Arabidopsis thaliana: one gene and its partners. The protein of the gene in region 1 interacts with the protein of each later gene in a pairwise test. Each region holds a gene or a part of one and is shown in the gene's direction. Other genes may lie near its edges. The genes, in order: AT4G12210, NAC057, HTA10 and ZFP5.

Region 1 (7,390 bases):
AATCGTATAAGAGAGACATACAAAGGAGCCCATGGCATTGCAGTAGCAAAAGTACGAGTATCCAAATATGTATTTGATAGAACTAATGATTTAACCCGCCTTGGACGGTGATGAGCAAAGAGTTGTGCTAAGAAGCCTCCAAGGGAAGTACCGTAGAGATGCACCTATTAAGAATGGTCAAGTACAATCACTTACAATGCCATATATTTCCGCACCAATAAAAAAATTTAGGAACTTAGATGGTGATTTGTAACTTAAAGAGATCTTACGTGATGAACATCAATGGTGTCCAAGAACTTCTCAAATGCTTGAATCCACTCATGATAATTCCAAACCCGTGGAATATCAACTGAGATTACCCGATAACCCTGGAATTGCAGATTTAACAACATAAGTTCAACATTTTTGGAGATATCTAATCAGTCCCCAAGGATCACATCAACACATAAGCATCTAAGTTACCATATCCTAACAAATGTTTAAAGCTACCTGTGATTAAGAAAAGATTGTTTGCAGATAACTGTTGAAAGACTAGAACTTGACAAACCTTCATAGAGAGTGCCATAATCTGTTTATAGTAAACATCTGCAGTTCCTGCAATTCCAGGAATACATATGAGCGGAGGAACAGTCTTTGGACCAAAGTCATAGTAACGCCATTGCTTTGTCCCAATCTGCAGTTAGCATGCACATAAAGCTAGATATTTATAAGATTGTTTATGCTCTGAGCAAATGACATTCCAAGAAAAAACAAAAAAAATGAAATCTTTCATTCCGAAGCTTGAAACAGTGGACATACATGTACAAATGCTTAACAAATCACAGTTTTCCAAACTCTAAGCAACACAACCCGAACAAACATTACATCTATAGAGCCATTCAATAGTTGCTTGGGATTAGTAGAGCTAAGAACTAAATATGCGAACATAAACAAAGACAAATCACTAAGTGTGTCACAGGCTACTCATAGATCAAATCAAAAGCAACACTAAAAGAATCTACAGAAGTTAAAAAGATCAAAAATGGAGAATACCCATCACTAAACTAAAGACTACCAAGTTCTTGCTTTTAGACAAGAACCCAAAAATTAAAATTCTAAGCATAAAATTTGAACCCAAACTCAGCAGGATAAACCCATTTACGATAGAACTACTCACACAAAAAATTCTGCATAAACCCAAACGATTAAAACCCACATGAGATTAATCGAAAATCAACAAAAAAAAAAACAAAAATCAAAACCTCAAAAGCTCGAGATTAAACCTAATTTAGTAGCCGAATAGAATGCAGAATCGAAAATTCATCAAAAGTCAAAGAGAGAGAGAGGAAGAAGAAACATACGGGAATCTTGTGAAGAGGAACCTGAGATTTAAAGTAGACGTAATCTCCGGGCGTCGAAGAGACGCCTTTCATCGCCGATCGGAGATTTTCAACATCCGATCGAATTTATGTATTTAATTTCGCTTTTGCTCTTCACGAACAACTTTGCAATTAATCTTTTTTATTTTTTTTTGCTCTGATTTTCGATAGGAATTATATAACGGCGAGATAACAGAGTCTCCTATATCAACTGCCTGTCAACGTTGACGCCGTGAATGGTCCGTGATTGTAGCAGTCATTCTCAGTTAACGACGTAAAGTATGTAATAATTAATGGTCATCATGTGACTCATCAACATCTATTTTCACATATGTTTTGATTAGATTTCGGTATGAATCAATTTCCAAGAATATTTGGATTTTGATATAATTTCTTTCATTTTATTGATCTGTCTTTCCCAACCGAATTACCCATATTTTTAATATATTTGGAATAATTGCAGAAAAATGCACAAACTTTTCTTTATTTTTAATTTTTCATAGTGCAAATGTAAAAGTAGATAATTTAGCACGAAAGATTCGTATCAAACCGTATTATACCATATATGTAAACAATATTTTTTGGGATTAACTATTTTGAATTCTAATTAATATCGGTTGCCAAAAATATAAAGATCTATTTTACGTACTACTCTTAAAATTAATCGAGAATCAGTTAAAAGAAATAAGTAACATATATCCACCTGGAATTAACATTGTCTCCAATATTTAGTAAATTATCGACCCAAAACACATGGAAAAAAGGAAACTTCTTAAAGAAAAGGAAATTTGTTTGATGACAAGAAAAAAGGACACTAGAACCTGAAATATGTGACTATACTACGTAACCCTAAAGCTATTCACAATTCTCTTCTCTCTCAATTTTCTCTCATTACGATTTGCGAAGTCGTCTTCTTCTCTGTTTGAATCTCTTCTCTGTTTTTCTTTTCGTTTCAAAACATGAAATATTGCAAAGTGGAATTACGCTTCATCAACCAAAGGAAACTCTCTCCATCACAACCAAACTCAGTTCTCGTTTTCATCGAAACCAAATCTGAAGAGATCTTTGTAAACCCAACAACCGGTCACCAAACCAGCCGGTCCACTCCGGCTTCACCATCTTTTTTCGATACTATCAATCTCTGTAGTTCTAGTCACCACCACATCCGATCACTTCTCCGTAGTCGGTTCGTTAGCTACCATTTTTTGTGTGATATCTTAGCCCCAGAGATCGCGACGGAGGCAATCAACTTAGGTTTTGGACGAAACGGCTTTACCTTCACCGTGGTCGTCACAGTTACTAACCGGACCGTCTCCGTTACTTCAAACGACACAGAAATCATTGAGAATGGTTCTACTAGAGAGGATAAAAGCAGAGGAATTAAAGAGTTCGAACATGGAAACAGAGTCGTGTTCCATCTGTTTCCACGATCTCTCCAGTCCGAAACCTAGCGATCTCCCACGCATGACTTGTTCTAAGAATTGAAAGTATTAGGGTTTCATCTACTGATTGCATAACTTGTGTCACACGTACGCTCTATATTGGGGAAATTTTATGTGATTTTGTTTATTAAGGTTTCAAATCTAATTTTGTTTCATTCGCTCTGTGCTTCCAGAAATTGAATGTAATTTTGTGCTTTTAAGGGTTTTAAATAAGATCATTGGACCATCATTAATGGGAGGTTATTAACAATGGCTCTTAGCAATAATTTAGGAATAGATTTTGAAAATTTGGTAGTTAAGAGTTTGGGTAAGATTTTTAAGTTTAGTCATCCTCAATGATAGTATATTAAGTTAGGATTCTTAAAAAAAAAAAGATATGATTTTGGTTTATGTGTGGTTTTGTGGAGAGAAGGAATATATGCGATGAAGTAATTGGTGGTGTTTGGTGTATTGACACAAAGATATAAAAGAGATTCATAATTGGTATTTAAGAGTTCATAATCAAAACAAATTTTTGAGAAAAAAATGATTGCTTTCTGCATTTTTAGAGTTAAAAAGCTAGACTTTGAGGCTGAGACCTACTTATATTGTGTTACAGGGAGTGTATTGAGCTAAATATGGCTATAATACAATTTGGAAGTACATGTGTTGCTCAATAAAGTATTCGTCCTCAATTTGCAGTCAGAGCTTATTATCCCAGCAGAATCTAATCAAGTCGCCAACAAAAGTATGATTTTTAAGTCTCTGGATTGCATTGAGTTCTTGACATAGAGGTATTGAAACTAGTTTGATTTACTTTTCTGTGGCTTTAAGCCTTTCAAGGATTTTGATTTGTTTTCATTGCACATCTTAAGATATTAGTCTTCGTAGAATGAAGTTTGTATTTTCCCATGGCCCACACATAGTTTGCCACATCATCGTCTCTTACCATCATTTTTCGCCTCTTGTATAAGAGGCCCTCTTAAGTTAATACATCCTTTAGCATTTAATTTTATTCTCAAATTAATTTAAGAACCCACTAAAAACTTACCAATAATTATTGCTAAGTCTTAAACTAATAAGTAATAACCAAAACCCCTTCAAATCAAACTCTACAAATAAAACTGTTAAAAAGGAAAAAAGGAAACTTCTTAAAAAAAAAGGAAATTGTTAGGTGACAGAGAAAAAAAGGAAACTAGAACCTAAAATATCTGAACGTTGAAGACGCGTATATATATCCTCACTACGTAACCCTAAAGCTTCACAAATTCTCTCCTCTCTCAATTTGCTCTCGCTAGTCACTACGATTTGCCAAGTCTTCTTCTTCTACTTCTCTGTTTCTCTTTCCGTTTCAAAACATGAATTCTCGCAAAGTGGAATTTCGCTTCACCAATCTTCAAAGGAAACTCTCTTCTCCATCACATGCAAACTCAGTCATCGTTGAGATCGATACCAAATCTGAAGAGATCTTTGTAAACCAAACAACCGATCACCAAACCCGCCGGTCCACTCCGGCTACTCTATCTTGTCTCGACACTATCAATCTCAGTAGTTCTAGTCACGACCACATCCGATCACTTCTCCGTACCCGATTCGCTAGCCACCATTGGTTGTGTGATGACCTAGCCTCAGAGATCTCAACGGCGGCTATCGACTTAGGTTTTGGACGAAACGGTTTTACCATCACCGTGGTCGTCACAGTTACTTACCGGACTGTCTCGGTAACGTCAAACAACAAGAAATCTTTGAGGATAGTTCTACTAGGAAGGATAAAAGCAGAGGAATTGAAGAGTTTGAAGATGGAAACAGAGTCTTGTTCAATCTGTCTTGAGAATCTAGTCTCCGGTCCAAAACCTAGCGACCTCACACGCATGACTTGTTCTCATGTCTTCCACAATCCCTGTCTCTTGGAGTGGTTCATGCGTAAAAACACTTGTCCCCTGTGTCGGACGGAGCTCTACGATCGATGACTGGAACCAAAGATTGATATTAGGGTTTTATGTATGAAAATTTCATGTAATTTTCGTATTAAGGTTGAAATTATGGTTTCCATTAGAAGTTAGAAAAAGATTGAAATTAGGGTTTTCGATAGAAAAAAATTCTAATTTTGTGTCACACACGCTGAAGAAATTGAATGTAATTTGTTGTTTTTAAGAGTTTTACTCAATTAGAGAAGTTTTTAATCACAACAAAAAACTACAAACTTTGTCGGTTTTAAGTTATTCACTTGCAAGTTGCAACTCTTAAATTCTTAACAAAATAACCAAAACCCTTCATCAAGCTGTTGCTGAAATTAAATCATGATTCATATGTGTCTTCTTCAATGTGATTGTTTCACCTCTCACATGAAGTCCTTCTGCAGTGTGTCTTTATAATATCCTTATGCAATTTCAACTCTTTGGATAATACTTCAGCTACTTCAACATATTTGCTAGTCACCAATCAAAGTTACGAAATATTGACACTTACAGAGATACATACATTGGCACTTCCCACAAAGTATAATTCTTCCTAAAATGCTCAAGCATTATTCCTTCTTGGAACAGATGCTTCTTGTGCTTTATAAGCATGTTCCTTCGGCTTCTCAGAGTTCCTAGATGGACAGTCGTTTTTGTAGTGGCCATCTTCCCCACAAATCCAGCAAGCCCCTTTCTCTCCTTTGGATTTTGACCTATCTCTACTAACAGACCTGCGTCTCACATGAAGTTCCTCTGCAGTTTCTTTATATCCTTTGGAACTCTTTGGATAGTACAGCACAAATCACTTCGTCTAGCGTAAGGTCATCAAATTAATTTGGTAAAGAAATCAGCAAACGTATCGCTTTCGTCTTCAACTAATCTCTCAAACTCATCGATGTTTTCCTCAACAGACTGGCTTTCATATATCCTAAAACTACACAGCTTATATTGTAGGTAAGTCCTGCCAGTCCTACACTCTACACTACCAGCAGATCTAGCTAGTAATGTAGAGTTTGTCGAGAACATATAACATACCAGCAGCTGTCTTCTCCTTCATAAGTTTCTTTCGCAGATTCTGATTTTCTACGCTCTGAACAATCATGCTCATTGCCTTTCTCTTCTTCTCTTCTAGATCTAGACTCAAAGCTACACAATGACTCTTACCTTCATCTGTTCCAACAGATTTGTTCTCATCCTCCTCAATCTTTAAAGCATCAATCACATCAAGAATCTCAAAACGAGCAAGGATCTTCGTCTTCCCCAAAATGTAATCACCTCTCCCATCAAACTTTTCAATCTGTTCTGGCAAAGAAATCATCAAATATATAGCCTGATCTTCATCAAATATCTCTACTTTAGCATTACTTAGTTCATCAATCAACCACTGAAACTCATCAACGTTCTCCATAACAGACTTGCTTTCGCCCATTCTAAAACTATGCAACTTTTCTCTCAAGTAAAACCTCCTAGCTAAAGAAGTAGTCATATAGTATTTGTCTACAACTTGTATCATACCAGTAGCTGTCTAACAGTCATTTCGTCGAACAACTTCTGTGCACAAAAAAAAATACTAAAACAAAAAACGTAAATTGTCTTACAGTGCTCTATCATAAGCTAGAACATACACAGGTCTATTATATGAGAAGAATTACAATGAAATTAAACGAAAAGAGTACTGAAGTTTCCGTAAAAGCCAGAGCCATCACTGCAAACAAACGACGTCTCTCTGTTTTGCATTATCAGTGAAATTACAGTAACGTCACAGAACAAAACAGGAAGAGACAAAACAGTTAACCAAAGGTTAACCGGAATTGAACCAAGCATATTTAAACAAAACCACACCACATAATTAAGAACCAAACTTCTCCTAATTAGCCATAAACAAGATTATGCATCTCATCCCATAATCCATCAGGACTAAAAGCCCAAGTTAAATTGTCGACCCAAATTAAAAGCCCATATATAAAAAAAGGAAATTTCTTCGTGAACACGCTTTATATATCTCTGTCACTACGTAACCCTAACTAAAGCTATTCACAATTCTCTCTTCTCTCTCAATTTTCTCTCAGTTTGCTCTCATTACGATTTTCGACTTCTTCTTTGTGTGAATCTCCTCTGATTTTGTTTTCTTTGGGATTTTCTCTGTTCGTTTCAAAACATGACTTCTCTTGAAATGGAAGTTCACGTCAGTGGAAGGGGACTCTCTCCATCAGAACCAAACTCAAACTTAAACCAGTCATCATAAGCGTCGAAAACATATCTGAAGAGATCATTGAAGACCAAACAACCGGTCGCCAAACCCGCCGGACTCAGGTTTCAGAACCTTTTCTCATCAATATCAATCTCTGTAGTTCTAGTCACGACCACATCCGAACGCTTCTCCACGATCGATTAGTCGGATACCCCTTTTGGAGTTACTTGTGCGATGACTTAGCCACAGAGATCTCAACGGCTGCAATAGACTTAGGTTTTGGGCGCAACGGCTTTACCTTGACCGTGGACGCTACAGTTACTTACCTGACCGTCTCCGTTACGTCAGACAACGAGAGATCATTGAGGATGGTTCTGCTAGGGAGAATAAAAACAGAGGAATTGAAGAGTTTGAAGATGGAAACAGAGCCGTGTTCCATCTGTCTCGAGAGTCTAGTCTCCG
Region 2 (8,846 bases), on another chromosome or scaffold:
GATTTGGTAATCATAAAAACTTGCGGTGCTACCAAAATCTTCGAGTGCATCAATGGGATTGTTGCTGCGGTGGGTTGGAATAAGCTAAGATCCATCAAATATACCCGTGGGTCTTTTTTCCGACCCGATTTGCAGCCATACCCGCATCAGCGACCTTGTGACGAGAAAAGATGTGTTAGGCTCGTCCCTAAATCATAGTTCTCTTGGAGGAATTCAAGAGAAGACTTTGGGTACGACTCAACAATGGTTTATCATGAATGTCCCTTTGTCTTCTTCATCTACCACCGGCAAAAAACTACCAACGATTGAGATGTGCATGAGAGAATTGGATAGAGAGAAGGCTGCACAATACTACAAAGATAGAGACGACGGCAGAACCATGATTGATAAGTCAGGTATATAATCATACCTTGATTAATGTTTCTTGACTGATTTCTGCTTATTGAGTCTCCTGAGCTTATCTTTTTACGTTTCTTGTGTTTCGCTCTTTGCTAAATTGTAAATTGTTGCCGTGAAAAGTAGTATAGTTCTCTAGTTTCTTTCTTTCTGACTTTCATATTAACTTATCAGAATTGTGTGACTTTTCTCTTTTAGGTGTTGGGCAAATTTTCCCAGAGGCTACTGTTCATGCCCATGAGTTCGAGCCCTTTGGGTTTTCTATGAACACTGTAGAAGGATTTGCAATTTCGACCATTCATGTGTCCCCACAGCCAGAATCAAGTTATGCTAGTTTCGAAGCAGTTGGGTATGATATCAGCACAGATGAGAAGCTGAACTTGGTGATTGAAAGGGTCTTGAGCTGCTTCAGACCAAAGCAATTTACTGTGGCTATCTAAAATGGTGGAGAGATTTACCCCCAACTTCAGGGCTACAACTGTACGGAAAAATTCATTCTCCCACTTGGCCCAGGTGGTCCAGTCTCCTTTTTTACATTCTTGGCTGTCTAAGTCTCTGGTTCTTTAGTTAGGATTCTTAGGGTTTTTTTGGTTTATTCTGGAGTAATTCTTAGTCTTCTGTTTTGTTTATGACAATTTGTTTTTTGAAAATATATAAATGGAAGATTTTGACACATTGAGCCGTTTACATTACAGCCCACATTCTGTAGATTCAAAGAATTAAAAGTAATTGCAGGCTGCAGAGCATGACATGATATGATTAAGTTATGAACAAATCATACGAAACTGAACAAGTGACCAATGAAACAAAACGCTAAAACACATCAAATAGTATACAACAAGGTCTCAAATATTTCCCCACTGAGAAGACTTTTCTTTTCTGAGAGGGATTCTTAAGAGCTTCAGATGAAGAAGGGCGTTTCTTTGGATCAACATGGAGCAAGTGTGCTACTCTCCTGAGATATTAGAAACACAAACCTATTACACCATTTCGAATCAAATTCTACAACCATTACTGATTCCGGCGGCGAGCAAAGCCAATTCTGACGGTGAAGAGAGGCAAAATCTGGGCACGAGCAGCCGCAAATTTCCAATCAAATTATTCTCAGCCGATCTCAGACGCCATGACTGGAACGGGACAAAAGCTTAACATCCGACGACGGGTTGGAGAGGTAAATTCTTTGTCTTTTTGTTGTTTATCTCCGACACCGACAAGCTTAGACGTCAAATTCATAGTTTTTCTGTTGTGTTGTGTTGATGATTATTTCTGCCTTATATTGAACATTCAATACCCTTATGAATCTGTGTTCTCCTTCTGTAGTGCACCTGAAGTGGAGAAAACAATTTGAATGAAGCAGAGATATTTAGTTAAATCTGATGGTAGTGTAGGTGTTAACGGATATGTTTGTGAAGTGATGTGCGACGCTATGGCTGGAAATACGAAGATGTCACCAGTGGTGACTCACCACTGAGCTCCAGGTTCTTCTTCTTTCCTCTCATTCTCTCCCCATCTGCTTTCCACTTTTTTGCAAATGGTCATACATCTTTTATTTGGCCTATTTTTCAGAACCGGTGTGTAAATATGATAGCAAACTTGTTCCATGCTCCTGTTGGACAAGACGAGGCTGTTATTAGTTGTGGAATTGTTGCTTCATCTGAGTCTGCTGGTTTAGCTTTCAAAATGAAATGGCAACATAGGAGAAAAGCTCAGGGTCTACCTATTGATAAGCCTAACATTGTTACTGGAGTCAATGTTCAGGTCTAAATATTTACTTATTCTTATCCTCCAAACCATCACATTTGCTTTGGATAGTGATCTGTTTCTTTCAAAAATCAGTACATTTTCAAACTTTGTTTCATCCGCTCAGGTGTGCTGGGAGAAGTTTGCAAGGTACTTTGAGGTAGAGCTCAAAGAGGTGAAACTAAGTGAAGACTATTACGTGATGGACCCAGCTAAAGCTGTAGAGATGGTGGATGAGAATTCCATCTGTGTTGCAGCGATTCTAGGATCCACATTTACTGGAGAGTTTGAGTATGTGAAGCTATTGAACGATCTCTTAGCTGAGAAGAATGCAAAGACGGCTTGGGAAACTCCTATTCACGTTGATGCAGCAAGTGGAGGATTCATTGCTTCCATGGGTGAAGAGTATCAATGTCAGTGATCATAAGTATGGACTTGTGTTTTATTGTTCCGTGATCACCAAGCTAAGAGTCATCAACCCACAAACCATAAGCAACCATATGGTTGGTGTAACGACAATTTGCCTCCAAATGAAATAGTGACAGTTTCACAAATGCCAATATAGCTTAATATTAATGCGTAAAGTGGGAAAAAATATTTTTAGTGTCAATAAGCCCAAATATATTAAACTTTTAGTATATATATTAAGGGGCCCAAAATGTTTTTCCCTAGGGCCCTAAATATCGTTGGGCCGGGACCTTACTGTACTACTTACCACTACAACCGCAGAAAGCAGCCCAAATTCCATGTATGTTTCATTTTCTACTTCATAGTCACAAACTAGCTTGAGAGTCAAGTTAATGTTGCTGATACAGAGTCTTTCTTTTACTCTCTAGCTAGTTCCATATTTGTCTGTATGATGGTGCTAACTGCTAAAGGTTGGACTAGGCGATTTGCTTCATCTGATCACATGTACATGTAAAGGCAGATATATGTCTATAACTATATAAGTATATATTATGCTAATAACGAGATCAAACGTGATCCTTTTTTTATAACGAAGGAATTGCAAGGAGCTTGCAAGTAACGTTTGTCAAGAATCTCCAAAAAAGATAAAGCGAAAGATAAAAACAACAAAAAGAAGAACGTCCAGAAAAAAGAAAGAAAGAGAGAGATATAATAATATAAGTAAAGAAAATTTTAATAATTAATCAATCTAGTGACCATATAAGTTATTAATGTATGCGGTCAAGAAAGAAGAATATATATATATATATATATATATATATATAAGTTTGAGTAAGAGAAGATAAATGAGGTGAAGTCATAAGTACGTACCCAAGTCCCAATATTGTTAATTGTCTCTGAGAGTTATAATGGCTCCAGTCGGATTACCTCCAGGCTTTAGATTTCATCCGACTGACGAAGAACTCGTAAACTATTATCTGAAAAGAAAGATCAACGGTCAAGAAATCGAGCTTGATATAATTCCCGAGGTTGATCTCTACAAATGCGAGCCATGGGACCTCGCAGGTATGTATGTTTTACATTTTTATTACATTGTTCAACAACTATATATAATTCCTTGTTCTTGGCGAATAGTCTTATCGCCGCGCTATATTGATATGAACTGATTTTTAGTTGTTGTGATCGATAAATAAAACTGTAGAGAAGTCGTTTCTACCAAGTAGAGATCCGGAGTGGTATTTTTTTGGGCCACGTGACCGGAAGTATCCGAACGGGTTTAGGACGAACCGAGCAACGAGAGGTGGGTACTGGAAATCGACCGGCAAAGATCGGAGAGTGACAAGTCAAAGCAGAGCGATTGGGATGAAAAAGACTTTGGTTTATTATAAAGGAAGAGCTCCTCAAGGGATCCGTACGGATTGGGTTATGCATGAGTATCGTCTCGATGATAAGGATTGTGACGATCCCTCTTCGCTCCAGGTAACTGATCGTTCTTTCATCACTCGATATCTATTTACCAAATGATAGTAATTAGTAAATATATAGTTACTAATATGATCAAATTGTAACTTATATAGAAACAAAAAAGATAATTACGTAGAGATGCATGGCTACTAAACAACAACAACAAAAAAAAAGTAACCAACTTGAGATTTCTCCATTTCTTATAGTAGATACGTTAATAGAAAGATATGTGTGAATTTTCATATACTTTTTAAGATTACCCTGATTTAATGATACATATTCGTTTCTTGCTGTAAGCTGACAAAAGCTTAGGGTTTCGCTTTGGATCTTTACTGCGACGAAGACAAAAGCTATATAGAATTATTTTTTTCTTCAAGAAAAGCTATATCTTATTCATTAATTGTTCATTATATAAGACAAATATTCATGTTCTTTTTTTTTTATCACTCATACTCATGCATGCATGTTCTTTTATTTACTTATGACTTTCATATACTCGAATGAATACCAGAAGATATTTATTCAAGTATATTTAAACATTCTAAGATTGAAAATATAAATGGTTTGCTGCAGGACTCGTATGCATTGTGTCGGGTATTCAAAAAGAACGGAATATGTTCGGAGTTGGAATCAGAACGGCAATTGCAAACGGGACAATGTAGCTTCACAACGGCGTCAATGGAGGAGATCAATTCGAATAACAACAACAATTATAATAATGATTATGAGACAATGTCGCCGGAGGTGGGAGTTTCCTCCGCCTGCGTTGAAGAAGTAGTCGATGATAAAGACGATTCGTGGATGCAGTTTATAACAGATGACGCATGGGACACGTCATCAAATGGTGCAGCTATGGGACATGGTCAAGGGGTTTATTGACTAAAGAACAAAGAGTATACTGAGGCAACAAGAGAAGAGTATAGAATTATTGGGCAAATAACGTAAACATTTAGGTACACTATTGTTGTACTTATATATAATCGTTGAAATAAAACCTGCGGGTTGTTGGGGTAAAACTTAACTGATTTTTTTCTTTCTAATTGTTGGAATGTGTGGGAAAATCACGTGATTTGATTGGATATTGTATTTTTTTTTGTTTTTGTCTTTGTTTTTCATACTCCCTTTTTTTGTTGGATTGATCATTTTATTATCCATTGATTTGACGGCTCTATGGATCACTGGTACCTTTGTTCTTTTTCCTCACATGGGTATTAACCAGATCAACTTAATGGATTGGGAAAATTTGGGTTTATACTTTTATTTGTTCTCTTCTTCTTTTTTCAATTATACAATAACGTGAAAACCAAGTCACACTCAACTTTATAGGTCAGATATTTGTTGTCAGTGAAATTTGGCAACTGACCATAACGACAATCGATAGGGAATTCCAACAGACATCCAATGTATTTTAATTCGAACTTTAATGTATGGTAATAGTCTAATAGAAAAAATTTAAACTATTATCCTATTTTACCAAAAAAAAAATCAATGATCATATATTCCCCAAGAATATATAAAAAAAGTAGTGAAATGTTATCAAAACAAACTTTAATCATATTTTTTTGGATGGCTTCTCTATATTGTATAAAATAACAGGACTAAACAAGTAAAAGCAGAAAGTGAGGGGTTTGATGAAGTGTAAATCTAAGATTCTGATTTCACTCTCTTACAAAAAGAAGATCCCTTGCCTTGCGATCAAGGAGATTGGTCTTTCTTTCTTTTCACGCATCTGTAATACTTGCGATCATCTCGCTTTCCTCTTTCACACTTTGTAAATTCCAATAACCAGAAAAGAACATCACTACTTATACATTTCATATCCCTTTAACAAAACTATCTATATATATGCTCAGCTTCAACTTTGAAAATCCGCTCGACATATATATGTTTGGCGTTTACAGGTACATCTTCTAATGTGGAACTTCTCTAAATGTATCTCCTAATATGAAATTTGCAAAATGGGTCTTTAAAACCCTTGACGTGATAAAGTGACTTGTATGTTCTTCTTATCTTGTAGATATAATTTATGACAAATGTATTGTTGACTGATTCTTGAACCTCTGCGATGTTGTAGGCCTCTTAAGAATGAACGTTTTGTCTAATCAGAATCTCAAGAACGTTTGTCTCACTACAGTCCTCATCTACATGGTTTCCCCAAAATAACGTTTCGAAAGTATAACTTTGTTTTAGGCTGATTAAAATATGATACTATTAATAAAATATGATACTATTAACCCAACATTAAGAAAAAAGTTGTAAAAAATTCAAGAAAGCTCATGTACTATACATCGTCGTTTATTCAGAGCATATAAGAAATTTAAACAAAATCACCTTTCAAAGAAGGGAAAAGGTATTATAGCTGCTCTCTGTAACAAGGAGAGCAGAAATTGCTTTTAAACTTGATGTGATTCAAAAGGAACCGAGATCAAATTAGGAAGATAGACACAGTAAGAAAACTGAAAAATCCCAGAATTGATCTGAATCTTCTTGAACATATCTCCCCTCACCATATAGATGCAAGTAGCTCCAGTTTTGTAATCGCCACAACACATGATTATGGTCTTGTCAAAGATGAAGTAAGTAATACCAGAAAATTAATGGAATAGCAAGGGAAAGTCAGGTATTGACAGTGTCAGTAAGTGTAACCACACCACGTCATCCTTATTACTAATGTTAATCTTGTCCTTTGTTACCCAAATCTCTGTATTCATATACGAGTTTGCTTTAACAATGCAAATCGATCGCCCTTAAATACAGTGATGACAAGTTTATCTAGTGAGCCAGAAACACTTCTCACAAGGAGGCAAAAGAGCATCGATATTTCCGTGGAGGAATCAAAGCTTCCGAGAAAAATACTCACGAGTCTCTTGTAAGCAGTCCAATACAAATTTCCGTTCAAGGAAACATATTCACTTAAACCTGCCAACATTGGCCAATTTTGGGGAGTCAATGAACTTATCGAGTGAGACGCACACTCATAAATACTTAAATGAACTTATACTTGATTATTTATAGAAAATCACGTTTCCATATTACAACAATATTTGTTAGTTGACACTTAAATGATCTCATCCCTGCATAAGCAGAATCTCGTAGATATCTGTCCTAATGTTCAGTTCCTTGTCCCGCATCACTTCTTGTAAATCTGACATCTCTTTTGCCGTCAAGACTGATCCCAGCTTCCCAAACCCATCGAGCCATAGTTTCTTCGACCTGCCATGTCATTATGTTAAGAATTGGTTCTCAGACAATATGAGAAATCTGGAGAAAGAACTCTAGATTTTTCTTACCATGGGCATGCATTTATAGCTCGGAAATAAATCCTTCTAGCTGCTGATGGATTGTCCGCGATGTCGATCTCATATGCTATGTAGCAACGCCATAGAATAACTGAGTTGTTTTGTGTATCTTGTGCCAATGCCCTTTCAAACAATCCGCGGATTCTGTGTGATGAGCCTCCTTTACTCAATTCATAAGAAAGTGCAAATAGCCAAACAACGACAGACGAATTCCTGCATGATTAGATATACTAAACTTGCTTAGCACTGAAATGTCGATATATATAAACCTTGTTCTAGGAGGAAGGCCATAAACATGTAACTGTTAGTCTTTAACCATTTAAGCTAAGCATCTCTATCAACATTAGGCAGTACTCCTGAGATCGGAGGGTTTCTTATTAACAAGTTTGTGAAAAAGCTTACTTGCGGGAGTAGTCATCGAACATCATTCTCAGTTTATGGGATGTCATCCGGTGATTACAAATGTCCACCAAAGCTCGATAAAGTTCAGGATTGAGAGGATACAGTTGCAGTCCCTCTGATATGGGCTTCCAAAGTTGTGACAAAGTTAGATCGTCCTGGTGTCTCTGAAGCATTCTCACATAATAATTGAACAAGAGTTCAAGTTGATGACTTTGACTTTTTCTTCCTGAAAAATTCACAATAGCCCAAATTCAGATATACAGTGGATACATGCTTTTAAGAGAAATTCATATGGAAAATAGTAAGTGAACCCAAGAATACTGATCATGGAAATAAGTAAATAACCTGGAAGAACAGAACTGAACATGTGCTCTAAGATCTCAAGAGCACCAGGAAGGTCATTTGTTAACTCCTCAAATAGAGCTGCCGAACAAACAAGCGCTGCTGATTGATCATCTGTGACACCATGAGACCATGTTGATTGTATCTTCTTAAGCTTCTCTCTGAACCCCTGGCGTGCTCTAAGAATTTGCATGCTTGAAGACTGGGAAGTATAAGGACTATAAGCTAGACCACTTCCCAGGTAGCACAGAATATGCATAGCACGAGATGATGATTCTGTATCCCTACCACTGCCGCTACTATTGGCTACTTCCGATTCAGCATACCATAAACATAGCAAAGGAGTGTTACACTGTAATTCCTGCAATCATAGGTGAAATAAATTTAGCATGGCTTTTGCAATGTCATAAAAATCCAAAGAAAGCACGGAAATTGGGCTAGATATATCCACTAGGCCATGCTTCCCTGTACATTACCAAGAAGAGACTGTTCTATAACAAACTCTACTATGATCCGTCCATGAGAGAGATTATCTTGTCCAAACTCAAGTGGCAGTGCCCCAGTTTTTGGGACCAGTACGCGATAATTTGAATCAGAAATAAACACAAAACCAGGGTTACTGATCCAGAAGTTCCTTGGAATTAGAAACATACGTGGAAACCTGAAATTTTGTATCATATGCTAACAAGTAACAATATAACCAAAAGATCTGAAACTAACCTTAGGGAGGCCACAGATAGAAGTCAGTGCCATGTCGAAGACTCGCCTTGCATGTTTCATATTTCCAGAAGCAGC
Region 3 (7,753 bases), on another chromosome or scaffold:
TGGCTGGATAAAATAGATATGGTTGTATAAGTATTTATTTTCAGGCATCAAACGTTTTTTCGATCTCTCTTTTCTCCTCTTTTATAACAGGTTGTGCCAAATACACGAAGCAGAAGTCAAATGGGTGAAACAACCGACGGGGGTTTGTATGAGATTTTTCAACAAAACTATGGACTCGTTGGCTCAACCACCTTTGAAACAGCACGAGCGAACTTCCTCATAAGCAGTGCCGGGTATGCTGTGGCTAGTCTTTTACTCCAGCCCAAAGATAGACACAACGGAAATCTCCTTTTCGATGAGTAAGCTCCCGATTTTGCACTTTCCTTTTCTTCTTCACTTGGTGCAATGAAAATTAATATCAAAAACTTTCTATGGACAAAATATATGTATTTACCATGTGTTATGCTATTGCAGCGTGGGAAGACTTGTCCACATCGACTTTGGTTTCATTTTGGAAACTTCACCTGGTGGAAACATGAGGTTCGAAAATGCTCATTTCAAACTGAGCCACGAAATGACCCAGTTGCTAGATCCTTCAGGTGTTATGAAAAGCAAAACATGGCATCAGTTTGTGAGCTTGTGCGTCAAGGGATACTTAGCTGCTCGCCGGTACATGGACGAAATCATTAGCACGGTGCAAATGATGCTAGAAAGTGGATTGCCTTGCTTTAGCAGAGGAGATCCAATAGGTAATCTTAGGAAAAGATTCCACCCAGAAATGAGCGAACGTGAAGCTGCACTCTTTATGATTAATGTATGTACCGATGCTTATAACAAATGGACTACTGCTGGATATGACTTGATTCAGTATTTGCAACAAGGCGTTGAGAAGTAAACGAGAATTTTTTTAATAAACCAGAGTAGAATCAAAGTAAAACAAAGTCTTTATTTGAATCAATGAAAGATAATATCCTCAGCATAGGCACATCGATAGTAAATATCATAACATTGGTAAGGGAGCTTCGTTTCACTACCAAATCTTCAAGACTTGGGCATATGCTTAGAAGCGTTTTCACAGATTCATCACTTGAAAACTTAACCAATATTAAGTGGAGACGTTTGAGACAGATCAAACGAACATCACGTGGAACATCCTTCAAACTTAGTTTCTCTAAAGTAACAGTATCAAGTTGTGAAAACATGTAAAAGCTATTAGGCAAATCGAAGGAATTAAAAACCATCTCGATTTTTAGCTCTCTCAAAGATCGAGCAACTGCGATGTTAATCAAAGGTTTGATGTCTCTACTTGGACAAGGAGGAGTCATCTTGAGCTGCATGGTCTCAACGCTTGGTCTTTTGCTAATAAATTGCACAAACTTTCAGTAAGTTCTACCTATGGATTCACCATCATACCTTAATGTTTTCCCCTCCTTCCAAAGAGATCGCCATCGTTTTGACAAGACACTTGTGACTACCACATCTTTACTTGGAAGGGAAGAAAGTATATTCAATAACAATTCATCTGAAAAGTCACTGATTGAAGCCATAATTACAAATCGGTGAAAAGTGAAAAGTTCACGAAAAGTACTCACTAGATTTATTTAGAAATCTATTTTTTTTTGTCCCTAAGTGTTTCTTTTGTTACAAACCTCCTTATGAGAAAATTTTGGCAAATAATTGTTTTAACCAATCAGAAAATACCATTATACAAAAATAATCACCAATTACATTAATCCTTTAATTTCGAAGATATCGGCAAAAAGTTGGAAGCGAGAGAAAATTATTGTTGGTTTCTTTGCAAATATAACATGCACAAATCGAGAAATAGTCCAAATGTTTTAGTAAAAAAAAAAAACCACCAATCACAATATTTGGTATTTACCATTCAACTCTTTTTGTTTTGTTACTTTACGCCCTCAACTATAAATACGATTATTCCTCAAAATATTTTCATTTATCATATAAGAAAATAAAAAACCGTGACTTTCAAGTAATATCTCAAATATTGTTAAAGATTTTAGTCCTCTAGATTAGAGCTGAAATAAAAAACTGTGATTTGCAAGATATATTGTCAAAGATGATCAGTCATCTAAAGGTTTCAGTTATCTACACAACCACAATAAACGATTGCAAATTTTCAATCTTTGGCTATCGATCTATATATATAGAGGATGAACTAGGCTTTCAACTACTATGGAACTGTCATGTAAGGCTTACATTAAAATATCTTATAGTCAAGGATCATGTGTAGAACTATGCATATTCATAATTTGCCATTTCCTTAGTTTTTGTTAATCATTTTGTTTTTTTTTTGGTCGCAAAATTTCATGTTTTTTAAAAACTTTTTCAAGGATTTCATTTGTAAGCTTTTCTTCATTTTTGTCTCAGTGTATTAGTTTTTTTTTTTAATTGTCTCTCTGTGTACTAGATAGTTATCATATTAACACTTACTAGTTTTATCTTTATGAATATGATTTCACATCTTATTTTGTAGCGGAACTGGCCTAGTGATATAGATAGAAACTGGTCTTGTGTATTGGTTTGTCTAGTTTATATTATTCGTTTTCTTAGATATATATATTTAATATTAGTTTCGTCCCAAGCGTCACTCGAACCAAAAGGATGGTGACTTCACGAGCCATATAGTTATGTTTATGATTCTTGTCTGTACCGATGCTTATAACAATTGGACTACTGCTGGATACGACATAATTCAGTATTTGCAACAAGGCGTTGAGAAGCAAACGAGAAATTTATTGATAAACCAGAGTAGACTCAAAGTAGAACAAAGTCTTTATTTGAATCAATGAAAGATGCATATTATTCTCTTTGTAAATAGCTACAAAGTTGTTAATAACACAAGCGTTTAATCAAACACAAGCTGGCATTTCTTTGAACCTCTGGCCATACATTCTAACTCCTTCAATATCCCATGCTTTTCTGCAGATTCTAAGTAGAATATCGCCTTCTTTAGACGACTCGCGTTTTCTAGAATGTACTTTGCAACTTCTCTCTCTTGCTCTTCACCATTGTATTGCCTCCACTCAAATATCTCAAGATATGATGATAAACATATGGGAACATAATCTGGTTGCTTCCATGGTTCCATCGACTCGTTGTACTCGACACAATGTTTTCGATACTACAGAACAAAGAAAATATACATTCTGTCAGTGTCAATAGGCCTTGGAGAAAGTGGAAACATGATACAAAAAAGGCAGCAGAGAAATCTAGGGAGGAACCATATACCAATTTGAGCTTGAGAACTCGAAGTTTTGGAGCATCATCGAGTATACAGGTAAGTAAGTTCCACCACTCCGTAGAACATAAACATAGCTCCAGATGGTCAAGATAGACTAAGGAAGTCCCAGTAGGAGGATACGGATCCGGATTCTGCAAAACATAGAGAGTAAGAATTCAAATAGAAAAGGCTAGATTCATGACTAACAACCAAAAAAGTTTGTACCTCTGAAGTGACAGAACACAGAGAAAGATATTGGGTTGAAGCAAGAGATCCTAGAAACTTGTCAACACACTTTTAATCTGAATATAAAAACTAATCAAAGATATGAATACATAACTCCTTTTGCTATTACAAATTTCCATTAGAAGAGATAAAGATCAGTCATTAACTAAGTAAGTAACTAACCCAATTGTTAAGTTTTTTTAAATGAATGATGGGACTTGATTCTCTTTCTTCTAAAGTTTGATTTGTTCTTCTACTATAATGATCAGCGACCTTACGAGCAAAATTCTTTGTGTTATCATCCTCTTTTAAAATCTCAGAATCACCTGATGAAAAACCAGAGAGACACAATGCACACAACTCTCAGATATAAAAGATTGAAACTTTTAAGTTTGATTCAGAAAGCAAATTACAAACCACAAAGATTCATATCATATAATGTCAATCACTTACTGGAAACTTCATATAAAATCAAAATTGAAAAAAAAAAACTGAATTCGAATTATGAAAATCAAAAAGGAATGAAGCGGGAACAAAACCTTGGGGATTTAGTTTGAATCGTGATGAAGAAGGAAGATCAGAGCTTGAGGGAGATTCGAAATTTCCTCGCTTCATAACAAAATCTGAGAAATAGATTTGAAAAACAGACAACACTAGGTTACAAAAACTGTTACTCGATGAATAAAAAAAGAGGACTTTTTCAAATCTTCACACACAAATTTCACAAAGAACCCGGATTCAATTTTTGAAAATTGGGCTCTTTGGTAAAATGTAAAACGTTTGGGCCGAAAAAAGAAGAAAAAAACAAAACTGTAAAGAGGCAAAGAGGATATTTTGGTAATTCACTCTGACGCGGATCCTGAATCTCGAATTATTCACCGTTGATTATAACATTATCTAACGGTGATAAACAGCGATCCGCGTAGTTTCTTCTTATTGGTTAAGACGAATCTAAAACAGTATATAAACTCTGGAGAAGATGGAGAGAGTCCATAACAACAAATTCGATTCTTATAACTGTTTCCCTCTCATCTTTACACAAAAGTATTCTAATCGATTTCAATGGCGGGTCGTGGTAAAACACTCGGATCTGGGTCTGCGAAGAAGGCAACAACAAGAAGCAGCAAAGCCGGTCTCCAATTCCCTGTGGGTCGTATCGCTCGTTTCTTGAAGAAAGGCAAATACGCCGAACGTGTTGGTGCCGGAGCTCCGGTTTACTTAGCCGCCGTTCTCGAATACCTCGCCGCTGAGGTAATTCCTCTTCCCTATTCTTCAAATTTTCGATCTTTTAGTTCAATTTCTATAAACCCTAATTTTGACTGATTTTGGGGAAATTTTGAAAAATTAGGTATTGGAATTGGCTGGAAACGCAGCGAGGGATAACAAGAAGACGAGGATTGTTCCAAGGCATATTCAATTGGCGGTGAGGAACGATGAAGAATTGAGCAAATTGCTTGGAGATGTGACTATTGCTAATGGAGGTGTGATGCCTAACATTCACAATCTTCTTCTTCCTAAGAAGACCGGTGCTTCCAAGCCATCTGCTGAAGACGATTGATTAATCAACCAAATCCACTCTCTTGTGTTTTTTGAGTTTTTAAGGCTTTTTAAGAGTAATTTAGATTAGATCTATGGTGAAGAAAGAATCTATCTTCTGTGTTTTTTGAATTGAATTGAATGTTCATATGCTTTCAATTTCTTATGGAATCAAGATTTTAACTTTTCTAGGTTTTCGAGTTATGATGATGAAATTCTTAGTCTTATAAATCACTAAAGACTTGGGATTTTTGATTGGTTGACATAAAGAATGGACTTTTGAGTTAAATTTGGGAAAGCTACTGGGAATGACATCATGAGAGGTGTATAATTGAGCAACTATGACATATATTAAAAGAGATCTGAAGGATTGATGATGATTGGTGGGCCAATAATGTACAACATCCATGAAAATGAAAGATCAAAATTATATAATAGAAACCGATTGAGAGAGAAAGAGAATCCATGCCTAGCACTATACCATATCTCTTTTTTCTTCCGTTTTTCCACACATTGTCTCTACCTTTCCCTTTTTCAGATTTGACCCTTTGTTTTCAAAAGAAACGATTTTTAGTAGCCGCCGGGGAATCAGGAGAATGGTGTCTCCGGAGAATACGAACTGGCTTAGTGATTACCCTTTGATTGAAGGTGCTTTCTCTGATCAGAACCCCACTTTCCCTTGGCAGATAGATGGCTCAGCTACTGTCAGGTTAGTTTTTTGTTAATCAGATTCAAGGGTTTCTGGGTTCTGTGTTTTGTTTCTTTCACCATCTATTAGTTTTGTTTCTTGGCTTTGGACTTTTGGTGTTTTAGGATTGGTAGTTATATCTGGAGAAGTTGTTATGGATGTGTGATCACTCAGTTGGTTTTTAGATGCTCTTGTTGTGATAGAGATATTGGACTTCTGCATAAATCAATCCTCTGTTTTTTTTTTTGTCTCCGTTTTGCTTACGTTCCTCTGTTTCCTAAAGAAGTAGACGAATCTAGATCTCTACCAATTGCGAAAGGAAGGTTCTGTAATTAGTATCTGGAGAAGTTCTTTATGGAGTTTGACCTTGTTGATCACTCAGATTGCTATTAAATGGTCTTCTTGTGATAGAAATATGAAAGAACTGAGAACCTAAAGTATAATGCTTTTTCTCTCTGTTTTGCATCCATTCCTCTGTTTCCTTAAGCAGTAGACGAATCTTGCTTCTATTCTGGAATTCTACAAATTGGCTGTAATCTTTGTAATTGATCCTTCCTCTTGTGTTGATGTGATCTGTTCACAGTGTTGAAGTGGATGGCTTCCTTTGTGATGCAGATGTGATCAAAGAACCAAGTTCAAGGAAGAGGTATCAAACGCTATTTGGTCAAACCTGCGTTAACTAATGACTTTCTTGTTCTTGCTATGCAATATTGGAACCTGTTGTAAAGTTTTCCTTCTTACTGCTGCAGGATCAAAACTGAATCTTGCACTGGTTCTAACTCGAAAGCTTGTAGGGAGAAACAAAGACGTGATAGACTAAATGACAAGTATTTTCTTGCTTTCTCGTCATTCTCTTCTATCATTTACCTTTTGAGTTCTTAATCTTTTGGTATGGTGCTTTGTCAATAGGTTTACGGAGTTGAGTTCCGTATTGGAACCTGGGAGAACTCCAAAAACAGACAAGGTTGCTATTATCAATGATGCAATTCGCATGGTGAATCAAGCAAGAGATGAAGCGCAGAAACTAAAGGACTTGAACTCAAGCCTCCAGGAGAAAATCAAGGAGTTGAAGGTAAAAACTGAAAACTCCTGCAAGATCTTTAGCTTGTCCATTGATCTTATGTATATGCCAATATGTAGGATGAGAAGAACGAGCTGCGTGATGAGAAACAGAAGCTTAAGGTCGAGAAGGAGAGAATCGATCAGCAACTGAAAGCTATTAAGACACAGCCTCAGCCTCAACCTTGTTTCTTACCAAATCCGCAAACACTCTCTCAAGCTCAAGCTCCTGGAAGCAAGCTTGTCCCTTTCACAACTTATCCCGGCTTTGCAATGTGGCAATTCATGCCTCCTGCTGCTGTTGATACCTCACAGGACCATGTCCTTCGTCCTCCAGTTGCTTAAAGCTGCTGCTTCTCTCTACTACTATTAACGGTTCTGTAAGATTACTTCTTACGCGCTTTTTTCTGATGTAATGATTCTCACATTCTGTGATTGGTGACATAGTCCACTGCAACTTAAAATGTAAAATTGAAATAAGCTTGCACTAAAAATCAAATCTCATTGTGCAAAAAGTTGGATAATTTGGAAATCATTGTTTTACAGATTGTGGATTCAGAGGAATATGTAAATGTGTAGGAAGTTTCTTTGAATTGATTGATTGATTCAAGTTTAGCATATAAAAGCAAAGTTTGTATTTTTCAATTACACAAACTCAAAAAGGATTTGCTTTTTGCTTCCTTTTGTGAAATGTTCTTAACCCAAAGAAACTTTTCATTGAGACCTTCTCTTGTTCATGACTTTCTTCAACAGACTCTCACGACCAGGAAAAGGACTTTGAATCTTTGGCTCAAGTTGCTTCTCTACATCTTCTAGCTTTCCCAAAACACCCTTCTGCTCACTTCTATTCACTGTCTTGCCATCATCTCTCCCAAGACTCTGTCTCATCCTTTCTCTCCTCTGTTTTCTCCTCCATCCATTCTCATCTTCCTCTTCTTCCTTCTTCTTAATCTCTCTTCTTCTTACCATTTCTCCTCTCTCTTCTTCTTCTTCGTTCGCCTTCCTTAACCTAGGAATCCGACCACCTTTGCTTGTCCCTAAAAGCTCAAAATTGATTTTGCTCC
Region 4 (8,285 bases), on another chromosome or scaffold:
TTTTTTTATTCTTAGTCGTTAATTATTATTTGCGAAGTTTATACTTCTATTTCGATGTGTTATGCTTATTATCACACACACTCATGCAAGAAATGTTTCAAAAACGTCAAGAACAAGGAGCACATAAAATTTCATAAGTTAAGATTTTTGACATAACAATCAACTAACAGATATATCTCAACAATATATGAACATGCATGCGCTAGCTCTAAAAGGGGGTTGGCAATCGGAGTAGTGAAGCTTTCTATATTTTATGCCCGAAACTGAAGATTTTAGTGAAGGCCCAATTGTGTCTGTGTTTGATCCATATTAATATTCACTAGGGTCGGACAGTTAAACCCAACCAAAGCCCTGAACACTTTTCAATCAAAATGGATATCGTAATTGTCACTTTTGAAAATATAGACTAAACAAAAATGAATATAATTTAACCAAACGAAATGTAATTTCATATACCTAAAGAAACCAGGCTTTTTAGTCCACACTATTCTCTGCGATTCAAGCCTATTTTTTTATAGAAAAAATCTCTGCAATTTGTCTAAATATAGAATTATCAAAGTCATAGATATTTTGGCTGACTTTGGAGATCTGCATCGTTCAAGAACAATAGTTTACGTACATAAACTAGGATTCTATCCTACTTTATCTGCGTCGTAATCTTTTGATCTTTTCTCGTCGATATTACATGTGTCTTTTTTTTATAATGGATATTACAAGTTATATATACTCTATAGTTGTTAGCTTATTATGCATGCTCGCTGGAATAGTTTAAGTAACAACAACCTTTGGAATAGTTTTTAAGTAACAACCATTTATTTAAGTTTAGTGGACTTTTTTTTTAATCCCTGGTCTTGGCATTCTTGGTGGGCTTCTTTTCTTTTTACATATAAACTATCAGAGTGCTCTTGGAGTCGTCTAGAAGAGAAGCAAAGGTTTTATTAATAGGGAAGGTGGGGTCCCTCTTTGGATACACTTAATTATCTTCAACATAATTAAAATGGTTAGTAAATTCAACCTGTTTTACATAAAATAAAATAATAAAATCTAGTCCTACTTAAATTTCTCAATTCATCTCTAATACAATCTACATGCATGTGCAAGTTTTTGTTTTTCACTTGCACATGTATACCCGTGTTTGGAACTCTCAATAAATCTTTTTACAAGAAGAAATCTATATATACGTAAATAACTAAATATGTTGTATACAATGTCTCTGTTATGAGAAAAATAGAATTGGTTAATTAGTATTCTTTCTATGTCTCAATGCATGTATTATTATATGTGATACGTACTTCGGTACCTGGCACAGCCCATGATCATATGATATAACTTTCCTTTAAAAGAGACAAATACGACAGCTAACCCTTTTTGGTCAAGACTATAGTTAAAACTTAAACATGGTCAAGTTGCATAAGTTTTACGGACACCGTATACTACTAACTAACGTTTCAGAATGGTTTTTGAATTAGTGTAAAGTTGTTTGATACTTCGATGGCAATATAATATATACAAATATATATGTAACAATTAATATAGAAGGTGAGGTTGATATATATAATTGGTGTATATATATATATATAAGTTCAGTATATCAAATATTATAGAAACCAACCCACCCACCCACCTAGTAGCCACCATAAAGAAACTTTCAGAAAATCATAATTAGCTAAAATTATTCCACATGCTATTGGATAAATAAAAGATTATCGTTGACAGCATACTTATTTGGAATTCTTCTTTCCCTCGATTGATATAATATTACAATTTCTTACTTCAAAATTTTAAATAAAGGACCTGAGCGAGAGGAAAGAGGCTTTGATTGCATGAGACACCTATTGGTGGCAAGAAAGTCTACCAATCAGAGATCTTAGGTTGTACGAGTGAATATAATTATAACACCTAATAAGGATTAATTATTGTTATTTCACTTAATTGTCTTGATCTATCTTTTAAGTTACAGAGCAGTGGGGTCCTTAATTGGAACAACTGTCCAAACCAAATGCCATTTCATTAGACTTATTTGTATTAAAATAAGATTATCCCATGACTTGATTCACCTGAAAATAGAATAATCTATACCTTTCTTTAATATCAGTTTTCTTTCTGTATAAAATATTGTCTTCTCATGCTTTATGAAGATTTGCCCAAGATCTTGTTTTGAAGATTAGACTTATGAATATAATTTTTATTTGTTAAATAGTATAGATGCTTGCATCATTGCCCACTTCTTGTATTCCTTCATTTGGCAACTAACTATTCTCCCTGTTTAATGTAATAAGTAATTAACATTCATTAAACATGGTCAAGATAGGCTTTTTCTTTCTTTTTCACAGTAATTAGACAAATAAGATTTGGTTTAGGTGGAAGACATTGAGATAAATTACAAGAAAGCTTCAATTCATGCTCCATCATCAATTCTCTCTGCGAGCAACTTTAATTGATGGGAAATTTCAAAAATCTACAATGATAATTACATAAAAACACATCAATAAAAAGAATATCCAGTAGACTATTAACTTTGTTAGAGAACAAGGGACGACGATTCGTTTGATTTCGTTCTTGTTGCAATATGCTCTTGAGTGAACGTTTTGATACAAAATGTCATCTGCTCGCTTAAATTTATGATGGATATATGCGTTATTCAAATACATAGTGAAATTTAATATCATTATGGGATCAAAATATTATACTTAACCTTCCATGTTGATTATATTTTTTGGCCTAAGTTGGTTAGCCTTATTTCTTCATATCTTTCTTTGACTTTTGATATTAGATCAATAATATGATATTAACATCTTAATGTTCTCTTTAAGCTTAGAATATAACTTTTGTATTAATTGTCACAAGTGGTGTGATCGCTGCATGCCTTTTCAAATATATTTATTTATTCATCATATCTCAACTTAATCTAACTATTTTATTCACGCACTAAACAGAAAGTATTTTTCCACAATATTTAAAATAAATTAAATTTGATCAATTTTAAGTAAATGTAGATATAATAGTATAATACATAAGATAAAAGATAAAACAAGTTGACAAGTTAAGTCTTTATATATAGTATTTAAAAGATTTCTCTAACCCGTTTTATCATTTTGCCCTTTTTCTTTCCCATATATGCATATGCGCGTGGTATCCACATATATCTCTATAAAACCTATTACATGTTAGTGTAATATTTATTGTACCTATCAAGGTTTATTTTCCAAGATCATTTCTCGTCACACCTTAGATTCAAACAACTAATTTTATTATAAACCCTAAAATACTATAACTTGATGCTGTTCATGACTAATATAAAAAACCCTTCATACAATATAAAATTTCTTTAGACATACAATATATTATACTATTACAGATGCAATGCATCATTAGTTACAAACTATTAAACTAAATATCCCCCGTCTCTCTCTTGCTATATAAAGAAGATCATTTACACATCTCCTTAAGCAAATTAAACCCATCGATAAACACATACGTTCACACATATATGTCTATAAATCCGACAATGTCTCGTACTGGCGAAAGTTCTTCAGGTTCGTCCTCCGACAAGACGATAAAGCTATTCGGCTTCGAACTCATCAGCGGCAGTCGTACGCCGGAAATCACGACGGCGGAAAGCGTGAGCTCGTCCACAAACACGACGTCGTTAACAGTGATGAAAAGACACGAGTGCCAATACTGCGGTAAAGAGTTTGCAAATTCTCAAGCCTTAGGAGGTCACCAAAACGCTCACAAGAAGGAGAGGTTGAAGAAGAAGAGGCTTCAGCTTCAAGCTCGGCGAGCCAGCATCGGCTATTATCTCACCAACCACCAACAACCCATAACGACGTCATTTCAGAGACAATACAAAACGCCGTCGTATTGTGCATTCTCCTCCATGCACGTGAATAATGATCAGATGGGTGTGTACAACGAAGATTGGTCGTCGAGGTCGTCGCAGATTAACTTCGGTAATAATGACACGTGCCAAGATCTTAATGAACAAAGCGGTGAGATGGGTAAGCTGTACGGTGTTCGACCGAACATGATTCAGTTCCAGAGAGATCTGAGTTCTCGTTCTGATCAGATGAGAAGTATTAACTCGCTGGATCTTCATCTAGGTTTTGCCGGAGATGCGGCATAACAAATTAAAGAGAGATATATGATTAAGATTATATGTACTATAGTGGCGTATTTCATTGGGATCATGAAGGGGAAAAAACGAGACATATAGTATTCTTGATGCAATTTGAGTTTTGTAATTTATTTAGGTTTATGTATGTTTTCGAAGAAAAAAATAATTCCAAGTGATGTTGTGGAATTATTCAAAAAAAGAAAAAAAACTTTATTAGATGGCTTTACTAGAAAATTCTCGATCATCATCGTCATCCGATACAAAATAAAGTCAGGTAGAGGATCGAGCATTTATAAATTATGGAATAACAATAAATCGTACTATGGAAGCAAATCATTTTCTTGTTCCTTAGTTTGCTGACCGTACATATACTAGTTGACAAGGTTAATCCATAAATCTCTTTGTATCATTGTGTGCTGTGTTTTTTTTTTTTTTTTTTTAATACTGTGTGCCGTGTTGGTGCATTTGCGTAATTGATGGAGGCAACATTTTGAACATAATCACTTTCTTGTTGCTTAATTAGTGTATATGGCCATGGGTACGTTCTTCCTATTGGTACATATGCATGTATTTATATTACAAGGTGAGTATTCGTTACAAGTTGTGTACATATGTTCTTACACGTGCAATTCGTACACGCCTCAATTTGATTTATAGTCAAATTTCAAAAAATTTGTTAGAAATTTCATCTCAAAAGTTATAATATGATCTAACGTGAGACTAAAAAACATATGTGAATTTGAATGATATAAACTTGATGTTTTTTTTTAATAACCTATATACTTATTGTAGGTACAATCCAACGATTTTATGAATGTTGTATTTTTTTTGTATACACTGTAAAGACGATTTTATGTCATGGCTATTAATATAAGAATATACATTTTAAAAATAAGATTTTAAACTGATGTCTCTTACCAATCTCAAGACGAGTACTTGTGATTCTTCGGAGACAATGAGAAGAGTTTGTAAATTCTGAATACTCCTTAAACGAACAGAATAAGTGAATTTAGTGGTGGATATAACTAGCTTGACTTTAGATCTTATTCTTTCAAATAGATTTGGTGTAAGATTGATTCGACATTTCCCATTAAATCTCCAAACAAATATGTGCATCAATTCGTAACTGTACAGCTTTAAAAATACATATAATAAATGGAGTCGGCAGGTTTGTATATTAAATTAATTTGCGTGATTGGAATGATAAGCTTAAGATCCATCATCCAGTGTTGGAGGTCCCTTTAATTTTTGTCTACACATGTCACTTCCGACACCAACGGAACTCCATTTGCTTATGTGTGTATTGGATGCTTATCCCATTTAATTAAAAAAAAAAATGTTTTTAAAAGGTATTATTCCTTTATTGTCCAATTCGTATGTTTCCTAATTTTGGTAAATATGTTTTTGTTAAGTTTGAAACATCGTTCCTTGCATTACGTATGAGTAAATCATACACGAGCGTATGACCGAGTTGGAATTTACGTAATGACAGATAAATTTGTACATTTACGACATATAAAAATATGAAATCAACCTACATATCTCTTTTTTCCTTTACTATTCTGAAAATTCTAGGTTTTTGACGGAAGAAGTGAAGGCTATAATCACAGAATGGAGGACTCTGTCACGCATTGTGTTCTAGTATGCCATATTTAACACTTGTCAATATGGCTTCGAAAACCGATAATTTTCCCTAACTAAAAATAAAATAAATCTAAGTGGCCACCTAAATGTGTTTAGTTATTATCATACATGCATGCAACATTTTATCATGGCATGTGAAATGTAATCATAATGGAGGATAGACTGCTTACTACTTAAAACAATAAACCACTAATTATCAGTTTTGAAATGATTTATTTTTGTTTAAAGAAGAGATAATGTTATATAATGTTGTGGGAGACAAAGATAGATCCAAGCCAGGTAAGGTTAGCTTGTTGATCTAAATTGATTAAAGCATTTGTTGAACAAGACTTCGCCATCTGTACCACCCATTCTTCTTTCAATTATGGATTATAATTTAGTAAATATCATATATATGCCTCCATTATAACTTTTATTATTGACATTATTGCTTTCTTAAAAGCAAGTTTATTTATCAAAAACTATTGATTGGTCATTGTGAAACGTTATATTTGACCGTCAATAAAACTATACATAACGCAATACATACATTATTATATCAGGTAAAGACTAAGTTATATTAGTATCTTATAAAATGACAATAACATGTTCTACGTAAAAAAAAAGGACAAGGATTATCGGTTACTTTAATAGTTTGAATGATTCTTGATCTAATAATTAAAACATTGGCGTTAGATGTAAGTTTTTGAAATTTAAATTGATTTTAAATGAATCAGTTGATCTAGACAATTAATTTGGTAGAACACCGATCAGAGACCCTTCTTCCAGAAACTGTGATTATAAAACGTGTACTAAGAGACAAGTAAAAATCTTCGTTTTTCTTAATTTAATGCATAGTTGGCTATTTGCGTGCATCATTATTTGCACAATAGTAAATATTCGATTCACGTCGTGTGCAGGAACCCATTCTTTTATCACTTCCAGTAACTTATGACGTTTTAGGATATGAAACATATTTCACCGTTGATCTTGTTTTCTTGTTGTTGTTTAATATCATTCACCGTTGATCTTGTTATTGAGTTTTTCTTTGCTTTTCAATTCGGTTTTATGTAACCGCTAAAAATTAATGGAGAAGAAACCCGTCTTATACCTACAAACCGGGAAATGTGAAGAAGAAACAAACCGGTCGGTTATTGAATTTTAGGGTTTTAAGGTTTTGACCGATGGTTGACTTAGGGCGCGCTTCTCTGCTTTGGTACACACACACACACATCAAGCTGCTTCTTTTACCTCTCTTCTCGCTTCACTCACCATCCTCAGGTTCGTTCTCTGTCACAAACATTACTTCCGACGAAAGAATTAATTTTACAGTTAGGAATTGTAATCAGTGCGAGTAAGTACAGGAATCGAAGCCGGTTTTGTGTTTCTTTTGCTTGATTTTTCTCCGTTTATTCTCAACTTTGAGACTTTTGCTTCATTGGTTACCCTATAAAGCTTGAAACTTTATTCGAATTGAGATGTTCCATTAGATATTTTCAAACAAGTTCCTGCCTTTTTACTCTACATTAAGCTAAAACCTGTGTTTGATTGAATTTTTGATTTCGGCTTAATTAAGGTTAGGCAAAACCAATAACTGGTGTGAGAATGAGGAAGAAGGTAGACGAACGTATAAGGACTCTGATTGAAAACGGTGTTAAACTTAGACACCGTTCCATGTTTGTCATTATTGGTGATAAGGCTCGTGACCAGGTAAAATTCTTCTTGTTATAGATAATTTCTACTTTGCATTTTCCTCGGATTTCAAGTCTAATACTTTTCTGATTCTGTTATGTAACAGATAGTTAATCTTCATCACATTTTGTCAAAATCGGTGGTCAAGTCTAACCCAAGTGTGCTATGGTGCTACAAGAATAGACTCGACATTAGCAGGTTTGATTTATCAACCGATTCAAATATTAGATATTTGCAAAAGTTGAAGCGTTGAAATTTTGTTATTAAAAACTTAATTGAAGCCTAGTTAATAATTAGGTGTGAGTTTCTTTTGAATTTTCCATGCCAAGAGAATGATGGAACCTGGTTTTGTGAGCTATGTTACGCATATTTGTGGAGTTCTATTTGTTGATAACTTGGTCCTGAAAAAGAGTGGGTGTAATTGGTTTTGTGTGCAGTCACAATAAAAAACGTGCTAAGCAGTTGAAGAAGATGAAGGAGAGAGGACAATTAGATCCTGAAAAACTCGACGCTTTCTCTCTTTTTCTTGATGTGGTGGATGTTACTCATTGCTTGTACAAAGATTCTGAAAGAATTCTTGGGAATACTTTTGGCATCTGCATCTTACAGGTACTCTTGATTAATGGCTGAAGAAACATTTACTTTTGCTGCAGCTTACTCATATTTGCATCCTATTCTTACTATGTTCAGGATTTTGAAGCTCTAACTCCAAATCTACTAGCAAGAACAATAGAGACAGTCGAAGGGGGTGGGCTAGTTGTATTATTATTACAATCGCTTGCTTCACTTACTAGTCTCTGCACCATGGTTATGGTATGAAGACTGATTTTGCTAGTTATGTTGTTTGCTAACT

Evidence for each region.
Region 2: the proteins of AT4G12210 (region 1) and NAC057 interact in a two-hybrid assay, tested with the Arabidopsis thaliana proteins (one large-scale study listed by BioGRID).
Region 3: the proteins of AT4G12210 (region 1) and HTA10 interact in a two-hybrid assay, tested with the Arabidopsis thaliana proteins (one large-scale study listed by BioGRID).
Region 4: the proteins of AT4G12210 (region 1) and ZFP5 interact in a two-hybrid assay, tested with the Arabidopsis thaliana proteins (one large-scale study listed by BioGRID).

Annotation. Positions count from the first base shown.
Region 1 is NC_003075.7:7,278,667-7,286,056, reverse strand, and holds AT4G12210 (RING/U-box superfamily protein), read left to right. Parts: upstream 1-4,137; coding exon 4,138-4,749; downstream 4,750-7,390. Other genes in the region: AT4G12230 (alpha/beta-Hydrolases superfamily protein), read right to left, coding at 22-164, 270-368, 548-673, 1,341-1,412; AT4G12220 (uncharacterized protein), read left to right, coding at 2,318-2,809; AT4G12190 (RING/U-box superfamily protein), read left to right, coding at 7,297-7,390.
Region 2 is NC_003074.8:6,060,927-6,069,772, forward strand, and holds NAC057 (NAC domain containing protein 57), read left to right. Parts: upstream 1-3,345; 5' UTR 3,346-3,452; coding exon 3,453-3,609; intron 3,610-3,745; coding exon 3,746-4,023; intron 4,024-4,581; coding exon 4,582-4,887; 3' UTR 4,888-5,254; downstream 5,255-8,846. Other genes in the region: AT3G17717 (S-adenosylmethionine decarboxylase proenzyme), read left to right, coding at 254-395, 595-836; AT3G17720 (Pyridoxal phosphate (PLP)-dependent transferases superfamily protein), read left to right, coding at 1,520-1,618, 1,963-2,154, 2,264-2,557; AT3G17740 (uncharacterized protein), read right to left, coding at 7,077-7,221, 7,299-7,520, 7,710-7,935, 8,055-8,412, 8,772-8,846.
Region 3 is NC_003070.9:18,922,480-18,930,232, forward strand, and holds HTA10 (histone H2A 10), read left to right. Parts: upstream 1-4,331; 5' UTR 4,332-4,468; coding exon 4,469-4,657; intron 4,658-4,754; coding exon 4,755-4,964; 3' UTR 4,965-5,267; downstream 5,268-7,753. Other genes in the region: AT1G51040 (Protein kinase superfamily protein), read left to right, coding at 91-299, 415-835; AT1G51055 (FBD-like domain family protein), read right to left, coding at 2,807-3,082, 3,190-3,333, 3,680-3,732, 3,824-3,836; bHLH115 (basic helix-loop-helix (bHLH) DNA-binding superfamily protein), read left to right, coding at 5,539-5,651, 5,756-5,953, 6,214-6,276, 6,380-6,457, 6,540-6,702, 6,771-7,034; AT1G51080 (golgin family A protein), read right to left, coding at 7,404-7,753. UniProt on the Arabidopsis thaliana protein: Core component of nucleosome. Nucleosomes wrap and compact DNA into chromatin, limiting DNA accessibility to the cellular machineries which require DNA as a template.
Region 4 is NC_003070.9:3,446,244-3,454,528, forward strand, and holds ZFP5 (zinc finger protein 5), read left to right. Parts: upstream 1-3,447; 5' UTR 3,448-3,490; coding exon 3,491-4,126; 3' UTR 4,127-4,983; downstream 4,984-8,285. Other genes in the region: AT1G10490 (GNAT acetyltransferase (DUF699)), read left to right, coding at 7,346-7,450, 7,539-7,630, 7,870-8,041, 8,123-8,245.